3 linked regions of the Nothobranchius furzeri genome follow. The protein of the gene in region 1 purifies or fractionates together with the protein of each later gene. This does not show direct contact. Links are inferred from orthologs where the notes say so. Each region holds a gene or a part of one and is shown on either strand. Other genes may lie near its edges.

Region 1 (5,216 bases):
ATATTGTTTTTCAATTGTGTCTTCCTGAAAAAGTCCTTTCAATTACACTTTCACCAATTCTCAGCCATAAAATAGCCTGTGAACAATAGCAATGATGCCACACCTAGCTGGCTAACAAAACAGTGAGTCGGGGCAATTAATGGTCTAGCTAAATTACAGTAAGAAATAAAAATATGAGGAGGAAATTTTAAAAAGGGAAAGAGGACAGGACTGTGTGAAAGAAAAATTCATTAATTAGTTAGTAACTCAGGAATCACACACTACAGCTAGTCATCTGAGAACAAAAGCAACGATTTATCATGCTGTCAGTCATCAGACTACAGACTTTATGGGCAAAAGACGTTAAAAGAACAAAAACATATAAGCATATCTAACCCAGAGCACGGCCATCCAAATGGTTCATTCCATATGTTTGCGTCATGTCCCACTTGTCCAAAAAACATAATAATCCTCAAAAAGTAGATTCAAGAAATCTCATAAAGTAAAATTAAACAAGTGCTCATCAGGAGAAGGGAGGTAACTGGGGTTTTCCTGGACTCTTCAGGCTTGATGGGAGAGAAAACACTGCTGCTCCTGCTGCTTTCATGATGCTGTTTGCTGTGATGATGAAGCAGAGTTACACAGCGGAAGGATGAATCAGATGGCTGCTACTGCACCTGCCTGCAGGGACAAAGGGGGAGGGGGGTTAACAGGGCTGAACCAGTCGGTGTGAAAAATCCTGGTGCCTGGAGCCCATCAGCCCATGGACTGAGCAGCACCAAACAGACAGCAACAATGGCTTCGTCAAAACTCAGTGGGGATGATCAAACCATGTTTAAATGTATGCTACAAAGCAAACCTTTTTTTAGGATCTCTTTTCAGCATTTCACTGCTGATTCTGGGCCATGACTGGTCACCTAAGCCTTTAAACCATGTTTTCATTCAGTGCATCTGAAGGCCCTCTCCTGGTCCTGCTCCATGTTTTCACAAGTGCAAAACTAGAGGAGGGCCCGAGCATCTCTCAGGGCCACATCCTCCTGGGACTGATGAGAGTGCAGCAATTAGCCTGAGACATCTGCTCTCATCACTTATTCTGGGTTAGCTGGGCCCACAATAATATCCAGCATCAGAACTACTGCAGCTGCCACACATTATCCCAGGAAAGGCTTCATTTGAACTCATCCATTAGCACAACAAAGGGCTGATTTCATACATGAAAATTAATGTGTTGCTGTGTAAACCCTTTGTCATCTTTAAACAACAAATATAGTGCAAAAAACAGAAATATGAGTTGATATAATGAGAGAAAAGAAAAGAGACGCGGGAAATAAACAGGTAAATAGACGAGATTTTTTTATAAACGTTTTTAACTATAAGGAAACAACAAAATTCCATTAGCAATACAAAAAACACACATATTTTTAATCAAGTCGCACCTCCAACAAGTTATTAAAATAGAAAAGAGCAGAACCTTAGTGTGTCAGATATATTAATTAATTTTACGGAGAGGGAAAAAAAGGAAAAGAAGGGAACACAATAAAATCACGAAAAAAAATAATCCTAACAAACCTCAAGGAGGAGCTATTTTTCTTTTCTTGTCAAAACGAGGAAAAAGAAATTCAAGAAAAGTAGGCTGACCCACGAACGTATGAAGCCTAGTAGCAACGGGACTCTTCAACAATTTCAAAGATTTTTATATAAATACACGAGAAAGGAGTCCCGAGGAGGCGGAAGTGTGGAACATCCACAGCATCTGATTGGATGATGTTGATGTCGTCAGCGGAAGTCCGGTTCACCTCGCGCCAGGGCGGGAAGAGAAGCTCTTGTTGTGTTAGCAAACGAGCAGAAGATTCCGTCCAAACTAGCTGTTTCCTGAAGCTAAAGTAGCATTGAGTCTTGTTAGACATTCTCACGTTGGCAGCGAAATCATCTGGTAAAAGCTGGTCTCTATGATACTTTTGTTTACATCCAGGAATTGTGTCTTATTAGCTGGCTAACCTGCGTCATGTTTTATTCCGCGACTAAACTGAGAGGTTTGACGACTGTTGTGGTAAATGTATGCAGAAACGTACTTCGTCTTTTCACGTGGAGTCACGGTGGAGCAGCCATCAGTAAAAGCATATATTTTGTAACTGTTTGCATCACCACGCATGCTTCGCTTCTTGGTTTTGCTCCTCTGATAGATGAGCATCGCTGACTAATTCGTTTAATAAATCATAATAAGTCATGTCAACCGCTCAGGAATAAATATTATTTATTCTAATGAATATCTGTGTAAAACCAACAAAATGTTTCACCTTTATAATCAAGATATTTTTATACCGTTTCATTCTTCCCTCGTGATATGGATTCTCAAAAACAAATGGATGACTACATATAATCCACAGCTTCTTATTCATTTTATGTTATTACATTTTTAAACATCCTTTTCAATGGAGTCGCCATGAAGAGGCAGCAAAAGTTAGTTACACAATTATTCCTTTACACAGTTAAAATTATATAAAAATATTAATTGCATTGTAATTTTTTCTTCCCTTTTAAAGTGCAGAAAGGAAAGGACAAGCTGTATATTCTGTACAGAAAATAAACTCAAGTACTCAGTCTTCATCAGAACTATGCAGCGCTCACAAGTTAAACTGACCACCACATCTTAGTTTAATATCAAGTCCTTTTGAGAAGGTAGATCTGTCTTCATTCATGGGAAAGAATAAAACTGAGTTCACGCAGGCAGCCCCGCCTATTTTAATTATTCTGGTGCAGAGTCCATAGCCTGACCACCTTATATACAACATGGACATATATGCATAGCCAAATCCTCTTGTTACAGCTATGGTGTGTTTAGATTTCTAGGCTAGAATCTTCATGGAGTTGTTACAAACATTCAAAACTTCTAATAATCACTTTTAAAATTGCTGACATGACTTGAACTTCAGTACCCATGACTGGCGCATTATTTAAACAATAACACATTTTATTTATTTTCTCACAAATTATTTGTGTGTGTTGAGTACTCATATTTGTGCACTTCTGGTCTCTCAGATTTTCTGAAACTCCGGAAGAGTCATGCAGACCTTTTTCAACAGAGCAAGTGTCCAGACGAGCAGACCTCAGAAAGACAAGGCAGCAGAGAAGAGCGCTAAGGCTGTCCCCTGGGTGGAAAAATAGTAAGTAATAGTAAGTGTAAATCAAAAAGGTGAATCTGTTTTACTGGAACACTGAGCTGCTGATGGTTCTGGATAGGACTGGGCGATATGACCTCAAATCAATTTCATGAAATATTGAGGATTTCACCTACATAATAATTAAGGCTGCACAATATATCGTAAATATATTGTTATCGCGATATCAGCATGCACAATATGCATATCGCAAAGAACAGATAAATATCGTAATGAATGGTCAGCTCAAATGTTTGCTACACATTATGCATTCTGTCAATCAAACGAAAGAATTAGGTTTTTTTAACAAATCAAATAGAGCTCTTCACCCATTTGTCCAATTGGGTGGGTTGTCATAGGTTAGAGTCCCGCCCCCAAGGCGGACGGCCCTTATTTTTGATGGTTAGCAAACACCTGAGTTAGCTTAGTTCTGCTCTTTCTGCTGATTCTGCTTTTCCCGGGATCCACTGATTGCTTTTCCTTGTTTATTTTCTTTTCCCCTTTCTTTTTCACATTTTTGCTTATCTCATTTGTTTAACTTTCTTTTATTTCTTTGTTTTTAGTTCCTGAGTTCAGTTTTTATTATCGCAAGTAATGTCGTCATCGCAATATTAATCACTGTTATCGAATATCGCAGGTTTTCCTAATATCGTGCAGCCCTAATAATAATGATAAATGGACGATAACTACAGGTATGCGCAGAAACAAATGTTGTCCATTAGATGGGGCTGTCACATGTATTAGTTGAGTCACATTTTTGTCTGACTCAAGGTGGTACTGCTTCTTAACTCATTCACTGCCACTGACGACTAAAGTCGTCATTTTAGATTTAGACTGCTTTAACATTTAGCAGTGCTATAAATACTCACTGCTTTTCCTCCTTGGGAGCCTTTTTTCCTCAAAAATCAAAACGGTTAAATTATTATAGCTGGAAAGAAATATTAATCTTTGCCAAAAATTCTTATTGGAGGGATTTGTTTAAAATGTGTTGCACTTTTAGATCTTACCTCATTCACTGCCATTGACAACTAAAGTCGTCATTTACATTTTTTTTTTTTTACTGTTTGGGCATCGGAACGAGCCCCCGCGCCGAGAGAACAAACATCTCAGCTCTAAAGCCGATCCTCATCCGCATACATCACACGTCACATGATCAGGAAGCAGAAAATCCATGTGTTAGGAGATCCTTTTGGGCCGTTCCGGTAAAAAAAAAAAAGTGAGGCGCGAACCAGAAAAGCTTCTGCCGATCACAATTCAACAACGGATTATGAAAGAACAGATAACGCTCGAAACACGCAGATTCTTCCTGATGTAAGAGGTGAGTCTACTCTTTGTTTTGGTTGTTTTGGCGTCGACATCATCCTTACGTGCAACGTTCTGTGACTCTTAAAAAACAGTAAAAACGGTGAGAAACGCTGGCAGCAAATGAGTTAAAGGGGCATAAACATCACCAACCCACACATATCTTTTCATTTTTTTTAAATTATCAAATTTGTTGACATGGGAAAATGTATCTCTAAGAGTCAGACATTTTGATAACAATACATTTTCTATTTATTGCCCAGCCCTAGTTCTGGATCTGTGCTAGCCTCCAGATCTCCTGTTCTAAACGGATGAAGAGACATCAAACATGTCACAACTACACGTGATTTTGTTTTCCATCTAAAGAATTATGTAGGTCTCCATTTGTTTGAGGCTTTAGAAATCAGACACTTCTATCAGAAACCACTGACTCTAAAAAAACAAGAGTTTCTGAACAGCTGTTGTAAGAGGCTAACTCTCTACTCATATTCCTTTTATCGCTATACAGTTCTTCATTTAGTCAGATATTTTAAGATGATCTGAAAAATACTATCTGAGCTATGAGAGGGAAAATGACCATCAATAGTTAAAGCATTGAGGCATTTCTGTTTACATTTACCAGTAATTTTTCATTCTCCTCAAAGATTTTTGTTTATTTAACGAACAACTTACTAGGTTTAATTTTTGTATTTTTTCTTTTTACTCCAGCAGACCAAAGTGCGTTGATGAGGTGGCATTCCAGGAGGAGGTTGTTGCAGTGCTGAAGAAGTCTTTAGA
Region 2 (5,174 bases), on another chromosome or scaffold:
AGATTTGGCGTCGTCTCTCTCCATCGACTCCAGGACCCCCGTCAGCACAAACACACAGCCCTCCAGACAGTTCTCTGCACCCTGAGAAACGCAACATTTTCTTAAGCTGCCTCCAGAGCCCATCTCAGCCAAACCACCTCTTATCACCAACAAAGCAGCCGTGCAGCTCTGCTCCAACCTTTGGGATGTCCTTGGACCCCAGCGCTCGTGGCCCTTCTCTGTTGAGATAGTTCCTGTAAGCTGAAGAGTGCAGCTTCTTCTTCTCTGCATCGTCAGGACTTGTGTTCTGATGGGAAAACAGAGGAAAACCATTTTCTTTTACTGGTTTCCACACAGCAGCCCTTCCTGACCTGTGCAGCTGAGGCTCACCTCAAGTTTCTTGGGAGATTTTTTCAGTTCTGTTGGCGTCACTTCTGGTTTTGGTGTGATCTTGTCTGAAGTTGGAGATGTCTTTGGCTCCTTTATGGGAGAACTTTTATTTCTCATGGATGTTTTCCTCGTCGGTCCTTCCTTCTTCTCCTCGTCTCTCTTCTTCATCATGGCCACTTTGGAGCAGACCGTGACTGGGGTGTTTCTGGGCGATGGACTGATCACATCGCTGCTCTGACTGGTCTTCAGCGGGCTGCTTGATGCGCTGACAGAACCTGTGCGGTTCTTTTGGGGCGTTGTGCTCAGACCTGGTTGTTCCTCTGAGCTTTTGCGAGCCTGGGCAGGAGAATAAATAAAACAGTGAGATTTTACCTGAAAAAGATAACACGCTACATAATCATGGTTCTCATTACTTTCTTAGCCTGCGGCTCTGCATCCAGCATGGCCAGAGTTCTAGCAAACCCCTCGTCCTCATGGATCTGTTTTTCCAACTGAATCAAAAATAATAATAAAAAAAATTGTTATTGTGGGAAAAAAAGGTCAAAAGACTCTGAACAATTCTGATGACTAAATATTTTAATTTTTAATCTTTTTTTTTATTTAAAATAAAACAAAATCACAGATTTACAACAAAATACCAAACCAGGTGGTTTTGTGAGGAAACTAGATTATTGTACAGAAAGGCAGCATGTGCCATCACATTCACACGTCTGGAAACCGCCTCAGTGACAGAACTGTCTCTGAACAGACTTCAGATCCATTTACCTCCCTCACTTCTTCCATCTGCAGCTGCCGAGCCATTTCTTCATCACTGATCAGGTCATCCAAGTCGTGGGTCGGCTAAAGAACAAGAGTTTTTACGAGTTATGTATGTATTTAGCAAACATGAAAAGAAATTAAAAAGAAGTCAAGAGGAAGAAATGGGGATGGTTTGTCGGAACTCACTGTCTTGCGTTTGGTGCTTGCTACCAGCTTCTTGTCGGAGCGGTGAATCGTCCCGCTGCCAAAGAAGTCGAGTACGGAAGTGGGGGTCTGTTTGGGTGGAGGTGGGGCGGACTTGGGAGTTGTAGGCCCAGGAAGACTTTTCAGACCAGGTTTACCTTGACTGGGAGACTTCACTCGCTCTTTGCTTTCTGCACAAGCATGTTCTGGTTCGGACTTTGTGCTTTTGGCAGTGCCGTTCTGTTTGGGTTTGGAGTCTTTCTTCAAGGACAGGAAGTTGTCGCTGTCGGAGTCTACAAACAAAAAAAATCCATTCTCTAACTGGAAATCTACATTTTTGAAGACTGATCCCGGAACAACAGAACAGTAAATCGGAATGAGACGAGAGTGTCACCTGTTTCAGAGACATACTGAACAGGATCCTTTTTAGGAGGTGGTGCCGTTTTACTGGTTGTTGCTTTTGACTTGATCACAGGCTCCAGCTCTTCCTCAGAGTCTGAACAAAACAAGTGAGGAATCGTCTTTAAAATAAAAATATATTTTAGAAAGGAATAGATTTATCATGGAGTTTACAAGCAATTTAATCTTTTTTCATGGTAAGAATTCCTGATTAAACAAGAATTACATAAATTATTAATATTATTGTGTAACATGAAAGTTTTTTTTTCATTTATTTTATAAGAAATTTAATTAGCGGCAATGTAATGTCAGAAGTCTAGCAGCAGTGATAAAATAAATAACAGACTGAGGCGAAGTTGCTGCTATAAAATGTGGAATGGAGCTTGCAAACATGCAGAGAGTCAATATTTGGGAAGCTAAAGAAATAAATGTTAAATCTACCGACTTAGACCTGAAGCTTACCCGACTCGATCACTGCATGCTTCTTTCGTTTTTTCCCACCACCCTTGTGGTGCTCTTCTTTCTTGGAGTTTTTGATCTAAAAAAAAATAAAACGTTCAAAATAAAATCAAAGAAGAAGAAGAGAGATATTTTCTATAGCACCTCTCAAGATAAAAATCACGAGGCGCTTCACAAAAACAAAAAATGTAAAAATATACAAAAATATTTTAGAAAATGATTGAAAATATATTTAAAATGAGCAAAAAATAGACAAATTGTGATTAAAAATGTAAAGAAAGAGAGGGAGAGTGGATAGGAACGAGGGAAATCAGTGGATCCTGAGGAAGGTGGAATAGGTGGGGAGAGCAGAGCTGTTTTTTAAAGGTGAGATGTAAGATGAGGGATGGAGTTATTTTTATTTGTTTGTGATCAGTTGAGATCAGAAGTTAATGAGTCCTTGCCTTTGTGCTCTTTTTCTTTTTTTCATTTTCATCTGAAGATGCTGAATTATTTTTCTTCTTCACGGTTGATTTGGCGTTTCCAGGCAGGGCTGGCTTCTGCACCACCGGCTTACCTGACACTGGTCCAAAGAATCGCCTGATGTCCTGTAAAACACACACACACACACACAGTTGATGACACTGGAACACATTCATCCACACAAGCTGGAGGGTATTTATTCAACCCTAAAGACTTACTCTCAAACGTATTCCTTCAGTTTTGATTTGAAAGACAGTCTGAACCAGCGGTTACATGTAAACTTGCCTCAATTTTAATTACTAACCGAATCATGTACACGACGCCGTTTACAGCATGACACGTTTCTAGTAAAGATTAAATACAAACTTGCTAATCTGCTGTTTAGCTGCAGCAAACTGTGCGAGGAACTGAAAGCAGCGTAACGACATGACTGACGGTTATTATTTTTGCTTTAGTTGTTTACATTTCTATCTGCAGCTTCTCGCGTGTGCGAATTAAATGTTGTAACGTTTAACATACCATTCGGGACAGCTTCTGTAGGTTTGTTGACAGAAATTTAAGAAACTCCTTGAACTGCTTGGCGCGAAGCAGTAATCTGTTCAGTCGCCGGGAGATGACGTAGCAAAATCTGGTTGGCCTGCGTCAGTGCAACTTTATGTAAACACACAACAACAAAAAAAACTTTATGGAAGCACGCGCCTCTTATCTTGCCTCCGGCGGGACAAGAAGACTAACCTACATTTAGAAATGGTTATTCATCATTCACAACAAATGGCACATTTATAAACATACGCTTTTTAAAGCCTTTTTACGTTTTTATTGAGGTCAAATACTAATCACACACCGTCCACAGCACCTCAGGTGGTTAGATCAACTATTCGGTATCTTCATTTCTAATATTCTTTCCCCTCCATGTTGCATATTTATATTTCTAACCTTTTATTTAACGGTTGGTTTATTGACAAGGTTAGGTGTGAATGCTTCACCTTTAGTTGCTAGATTTGCAAAAAATAAAAATAACTTACCAGATGTAGAAACTTGGCCTGGTGAACTAGACCAAATTCTTGCATTGCAAAGTTAATATATATATTTGTCTGGTTTACCAAACCGTCATATTGAAAAAAATACTACACATCAGGTGGAGTAGGGCTAGATTACAAATACTTATATGCTTCTTTTTCATAGCCTATAAAACCCACATTTAGCATAAGGGCAGTGGACTTTAAAACAACTAGATTTGCTTATTACTCCAATATCTTTTATGATACCAATACTTCAAACTGTACACAAACAGAATGAAGCTGTAATGGAAAATAGTAGAGTAATGTGGGCTAAATAAATTGCTTTAAAAGCTATGTATTACTTGTGACCAATAGCTGTAATACTCTTTTAATTATAGAATATCACCTTGCTTGGTCTTAGGATGATTAATTAGAAGGTTCTAGGATTCTTTTAATTATTAAGGGATCGTTCACACTTCGTTTATGATTCAAGAACCAGTCAGTGTTTGCAAACAAATAAGAGTTTATTTTACAAACAATTAAGACTTGACAAATGGTTTATCCTGTGAGTGGATGGAACTAAAAGATGGGTGTCTGAAATCTATGTGTGAATATGAGATGATGAATCAGAATCTCTGTATCTTCAGAGAGGTGCGTTCTGGTTTACATTTAAGCTATAAGCTGTTATTTATCCAACTGCATACAGATGCTGTGTGCCTACATTACCGTAGAGGCACCCTCTTGGTGGATCCAAAAGTCAGAGTGGTCGGATGACCGCTGGCACCGGAGGGCTGTAGAGTACAGAGGTGCCGTCCTTTCAGTCCTAGAGATGTGTCTCGGGTCACGACAGATGGATGGAAACCACGCGTCTTAAAATAACTCTGAAGGATTTCAGCAGTCAGCTTTGTTCTGCAGGAAAACTAGTTGTTCTCATCTTCACAGGTGCGAAAAAGGTGTAAGGTTTTGACGTGTCAAAATCCTTTTGGTTAAAAAAGGCTGTAGCTAAAGATGGCCAGTCTAAAGCTTTGCTCTCCAACCCTCGAACCGTTGCTGTTCGAACTCTTGTCTAAGGGTGGAAGCATAGCGGCTGGTTTTTATAGACCGCTGTTATCTATTACCAAAGTTAGCAAAAATCTCAAACACACCCGCCTACTTGATAGAGCCCCTGAGTCTGGGTGAAAGGTTAATCTGTGTCACGCATTAATCTTTACTCTGTCTGGTGTGAGCACATGGTGATGACCTCACCTAGTAAACACTACTAAACCTTGAATAGATTCATGACATTTCATTGCTTATAATAAAAGTTCATAATGACTTTTTTTAATTATAAGATCTTTTCTTTTGGAGAATAAAAAGTTTATCTAAAGAGTTCTCTTGTGAGGAAATTTGGGGACAGGAATGCTACTGTTCATTATTATCTGATGAAGCTGCGGTCCCGCTGATGAAGGCTTTGATTAAAGAGACTGTGTGCAGACACAAGACTCCTTTCAGCCAGGGTTAGATGACCTAATCCCAAAATCAGGCCACTTCATGACGTTACAA
Region 3 (5,101 bases), on another chromosome or scaffold:
TATGCTTAATCTTACATATGTGCATAAAATTTTCTATTATTATGCAAAGTGATATTTATGAAATCAATGAAGCTAGAAATCTTTGATTTTCCTATTTTAAATTCACACACAGCTGTTATTTAACCCATTCCCCTAAACATTTCGTAGTTGCCTTTCTGCCTGATGCAACTTATTTCATTTTGTGCTGCTGTGTTTGCATACTGATTGCATTTGCTAAAGTGATCTAATTTCCTCACAACGAACACCGAACACGATAATAATAACAATAAGTCATGTTCTCCTTCTGGTACTGCAGGTCATGATGGAAACCACCACACATCAGCCTGAATTAGATTATAACCAACGCATAGAAGGACAAACACTTAGCCCAGTTCAGAGCTGAAAGTGGCACAAGAGATTAATGTTTGCTTTTAAACAAGCTGAGGTTCAAGCTGTGAAACAGTGACTGATAATAGAATTTCATTTAGCTGAAATCCAGTTAGAATATATACATTTATTTCTGTCTGCCGTTAATAAAACCTTTTTTGGTACAGAATAATTACAAGTTATGCTAATAGTAACAGTTATGATGAATAAATACAAGGCAGTCAGGTTGCATTTTGCAAAATTCATGAAAATGGGCATAAATCTAACTTTATTTTCAGCTGAAAACTGTCATATTTGTTTCTACATGCGTTGTCTCTTTTCTTGCTTCAAGCAGCTGAAGTGTTCTCCATTTCTATATCCAGCTTTCTCTCTTTGGGCGCAGCACTCAGATCTGATGGTTGTCAGTCTCTGATTTCATGTGGCAGACAACAAAAAGCTGGCAGGGATCGATTTGTATGGAGGTAGTCCAACTGGTGTGTGAGCTCCTGGCCCTGCTAAATCAATACTCCAGCTCTGATGCACAATAAAGAAGAAACGGCAGCATTGGTGGGATGAGTAGGAAATGAATGAGATGGTGTCCAAAGAGGTGACTTTGTGGCTAGGGTTGGGCATTGATTGATTTTGAACGATTCCGATTCCAATTCCAATTTCTCGTTTCGATTCCGGTTCCGATCGATTCCCGATTCCGATTATTTGAAGACATGACATGTTTTGCATGAGCCAGCTAACCACAGGTCCTACTTGATGAAATAATCTTAACTTCAACATGAATTTTAATTTTATGAACAATTAACATCACCTTCATTTAGACAAAAATGTGTTTTGGAGAAAAAAAGAAAGACTTGCAGCACAACTGCCATGTTTACATGTGCATATTTAATCGGATTGAACGCCCAATCAGATTGAAAATTCTGCATGTAAACATGTCAATCGGAATATTCTGATCCGATTCAATCCGACTGAGAGAGGTGGTTTATTGTGTTCATCATTCCGATTGACGTGCATGCACACAGCCATTCGGATTGTTGGGGTAAAATAATGCCCACTGCGCATGTGTGCAACAGCGAGTGGACCTCTCTGCTGTCATTTGGACTGCCTGACTTCAAAAATGACGGTGTAATTAACGAGCGGCGGCGGCTTTTAAATCCGATGACAAGCCGTCCCCGTTTCATTAATATTTAATTCAGAACTTGCATTTTGTTGAAGGAAAAATAAAAACCTGATTATTGCACAAATCTTTCGACAAACATGTTCAAATCTGTACTGGAAATGCGCAGGTTTATTGCAGGGGTTGCAGCGCACGGATCCCCGTTTCTGTCAGCTTTGAACGCAGCAGCTTCTGCAGCAGGTGATGAAGACGCGCTTGTAAAGAAGACAGGATAATAGGGGTTTTACAAACCTGATTGGAGGCTGGTGTTGGGTAGGAAAACGTCCTCGGTTAAATATTCTGGACGACAGTAAAGTCCGTGTTAAAAGCACATAAACGCAGATGACCTGAGATGCGGTTCGTTAATGATGAACACAGGCTTCTAAACTTTCTGAACATCTTGTTATTTTGTTTGAACAGATTTTTCTCAACAGTTTCAGCTGATTGTCACATGTTCATAAAAAAGCCACAACAGAGCTCAGTAATAAAACATGAGTCACGAGATCACGTTTATTTTTCACGAAGATCGGCCGCGGACTCCTCTTCCGTCGAAATACTGGGAATCAAAACTAGGAATTGAAATAAAAAACATTGAGCGATTCCGGGAAAAATGATGAACAGTTGGAACCGGTTCCAATCGATGCTGATTCTCGATGCCCAACCCTATGCTAACACTGTGACTTGAGGTAAGAAGTTAAAAAATATTATGGACAGAAAATGCAATTTATCAGCTTTTCTTTCACCTTTGCACACAAATCTAATTCTCTATCTCCTATGAGTGCTGGTCTAGAAATGCAAAATCCATTAATAAGTCTTATTTCTACAACGCTGCTAATGTATTGCTTTAACTTTTAAAAGGTAGAATTCAAAAAACTGATTTTAAACACGAGTGAAGTTGACTGTTGATTTGGTGCCTGAAGCTGCTATCCAGGCTGTTTGTTTCTGCAGACACTCCAGATGGAGCTGTTGCCTCTGGTGGATCTAACTTCCTGGAAAGCAGAAACTAGACTAAAATCACTCAAAGACTGACAAAATGTCAGATCTCTTATCTTATTTATGTCTGTATTTAAGAATATATCTGTTCTGACTGAATCAGAGTTTAAAGAGCAAGTCACCACCAAATCAACTTTTTTTGCTGATAAACTATATAAACGAGTGTCTAATTGTGCTGCAGACACGCGTAGTCAATAATTTGGCACTTCAGTGCATCTTAGCTAAAATTTTAATATTCTGCCTAAAACTGTCAGTGTTCCGCTGTCGTCAGGGAAAAACTCTGCACTGTATCTGAATTTAAATCTGCCACCGCTATTGGCTAAGAGGTATGCTATGATGTTAGCTGGTACATTATGATGTCACAATGCCATTGTGAGCCTGTGTGTGTGTGTGTGTGTGTGTGTGTGTGTGTGTGTGTGTGTGTGTGTGTGTGTGTGTGTGTGTGTGTGTGTGTGTGTGTGTGTGTGTGTGTATTTGTTAGCGGCTCCACCCTCTCGGTCTGCCAGGCAACAGCATTTGTTGCATTTTTCAAACATGAAGTGGGAGTGGAGTTAGTAAATTGTAGGGGGTGACTTGCTCTTTAAGCAGCTGTTTCTGTTTTCTGGCTTCTTGCTAGCTGAAGTGTTCATTCACATATTCAGTCCTGGTGAGTGGATGAGTTATAACTAGTTATCAGAACAGCCTCAGGAATTATTTTTAAAAATGAAAAAAAAAAGACAAATAGAGCCATTAAAAACCAGAGGTCCTATAGAAAATGTGAAGGTTGATTGTCATGAAGAGGGGGATATGTTGGCAAGAGGAAGCAAGCAGGGTATGCTTTGGAAATGAAGAGATTCCAAGCTAATGCACCTTGCACAAGTTAGGATGTAGCTCCTTACGGCCTTAGCATGACCTGAGACTGGAGAAGAAAAGGAAGAGAAGGAGGATGAAGCATAATCTAATGAGTAGTGACCAGCTGAAATGATGTAGTCTGGCTAGCCAGAATGAATAAATATATTACTTAGTCTGGCAACGCTCCATTGACGATTCTCAGTCGTAGGGTGGTTTCTACCGTTGTCTTTCAAACGATCTCCGCATGCTACTGAACAACGAACAACGTGGCATACTCACGGCAAGAGATGTCGGTAAACAAGGCAGTCCACTGTTGTACCATTATGGACCAATCACAGTGCTCTATTGGTTCGAAACCCCTATAGAGAGCAATGATTGGCCTGCCAGAATGCTGCTAGGGGCTGCAGAGGTTCCAATGGAGCATTCCCAGACCAAACTTTGCAAAGCAGGAATTTGGTCTGGTTCACCAGGATAGAAATGATGTTCAGGTCACAAGAGTTTAACTAGTACAAAGTTCTTAGAAATATCTTAAGTTCGTATTTTTTTCTAAGGCTTGATCTACACAACAAGATTTTAAAATGGTGAAAAATGTTCCAAACAAGAGTGATCCCACACATAGTGATAAAGAAAATCAAGGATACACCAGTTTTGGTCCTGCAGTGAGTGGTGTCCAGCCATAAGACACTCAACACACCTCTTTGGTGTGTTCTTGCTGTGTTGAAATTCTAATTCCATCTTTTAGTTCTTTTTAAAACACAGAAAGGTTTGCAGCTGCAAACGAAACGTTGCAGGTAAATAAAACCTTTCTGTGTTTTAAAAAGAACTAAAAGATGGGGTCAACACACCTGATATGAACTGGTTTCACTCGGGTCAGAACAGAAATCTCACAGAAACCTGACTTTCACAGAAAAAGTAAGACTTTGTTTCGAAATGTGTCTTTATGCAGATGATGTGATGCTGTGTGTCATAGATAGTATTTTCAGACTGTGGATGTCCATTTAATCCAACAAAAACAGCCATGTAGAAAAGTGTTGAGTCTCTTTTATAAAAAAAAAAAAAACTCTATTTTTCTATTCTGCAAAGACTCCTAAGAGTTGTCTGGTCTGCTCAGAAGAGCGTCTGGCCACTCTAGTCAAAAATCAGGAAATAATAAACTTGTTGGATTGTTGTGATCCAATATTGAGAACAAGCATGCTGCTTGTTAACTATTACAACCTTTGCCATGTGAGTCGAAAGTGAAAAGCTCAACCCGACACAAATCAGGAGTGTTTATGTCAGCGATAAACAAAATAAAGAAGACTAAATTAGCAACTTCACTTGGGAATGACAATTTGGATGAAATCCAAGAATTCCGTTCATTATCTAATGCCACGAGACAGTAACGGATAAAAACAACTATCATTGGTGTAAAACCATTAAAAATTATGGATTAATTAACGTTTGAAATGTTTTAGAGTATACATACAGTGCTCAGCATAAATGAGCACACCCCACTACATGTGACAGAAAACCTTTAGTCTCCTTTTAGAATCAACATTTTTTACGAGGTACTATACAAAATACTCCCACAAATGTGGACCAAACGAGATTTATTAATTTTCACAGACAAAAAGTGATTTTCCTAACAAATCCTTTCAAGCCCATGTTGCAAAAAGGTGTACACCTCAATTATAATATTAGAAGAAAAGCCACACTTAAGACTATAAAATTTGAATTAACAGGCATTCAACCACAGGTGAGCCTAATGATTCATTTAACCCTCCC

Evidence for each region. The genes of interacting proteins can lie anywhere in the genome.
Region 2: the proteins of rfc4 (region 1) and rfc1 fractionate together in Homo sapiens (co-fractionation; 7 studies listed by BioGRID and IntAct, counting the BioPlex papers as one, with this or other methods). This does not show direct contact. The link is inferred for Nothobranchius furzeri from reciprocal best matches to the Homo sapiens genes RFC4 and RFC1.
Region 3: the proteins of rfc4 (region 1) and atad5a purify together in Homo sapiens (affinity purification with mass spectrometry; 5 studies listed by BioGRID and IntAct, counting the BioPlex papers as one, with this or other methods). This does not show direct contact. The link is inferred for Nothobranchius furzeri from reciprocal best matches to the Homo sapiens genes RFC4 and ATAD5.

What each region holds. Positions count from the first base shown.
Region 1 is NC_091756.1:57,700,889-57,706,104, forward strand, and holds the start of rfc4 (replication factor C subunit 4), read left to right. Parts: upstream 1-1,774; 5' UTR 1,775-1,912; intron 1,913-3,018; 5' UTR 3,019-3,042; coding exon 3,043-3,143; intron 3,144-5,147; coding exon 5,148-5,216. UniProt on the Homo sapiens protein: Subunit of the replication factor C (RFC) complex which acts during elongation of primed DNA templates by DNA polymerases delta and epsilon, and is necessary for ATP-dependent loading of proliferating cell nuclear antigen (PCNA) onto primed DNA.
Region 2 is NC_091747.1:79,309,091-79,314,264, reverse strand, and holds the start of rfc1 (replication factor C subunit 1), read right to left. Parts: upstream 3,260-5,174; 5' UTR 3,154-3,259; coding exon 3,151-3,153; intron 2,757-3,150; coding exon 2,613-2,756; intron 2,249-2,612; coding exon 2,173-2,248; intron 1,808-2,172; coding exon 1,706-1,807; intron 1,605-1,705; coding exon 1,315-1,604; intron 1,210-1,314; coding exon 1,135-1,209; intron 861-1,134; coding exon 783-860; intron 706-782; coding exon 370-705; intron 287-369; coding exon 179-286; intron 82-178; coding exon 1-81. UniProt on the Homo sapiens protein: Subunit of the replication factor C (RFC) complex which acts during elongation of primed DNA templates by DNA polymerases delta and epsilon, and is necessary for ATP-dependent loading of proliferating cell nuclear antigen (PCNA) onto primed DNA.
Region 3 is NC_091752.1:53,827,325-53,832,425, forward strand, and holds the start of atad5a (ATPase family AAA domain-containing protein 5), read left to right. Parts: upstream 1-1,842; 5' UTR 1,843-2,199; intron 2,200-5,101. UniProt on the Homo sapiens protein: Has an important role in DNA replication and in maintaining genome integrity during replication stress.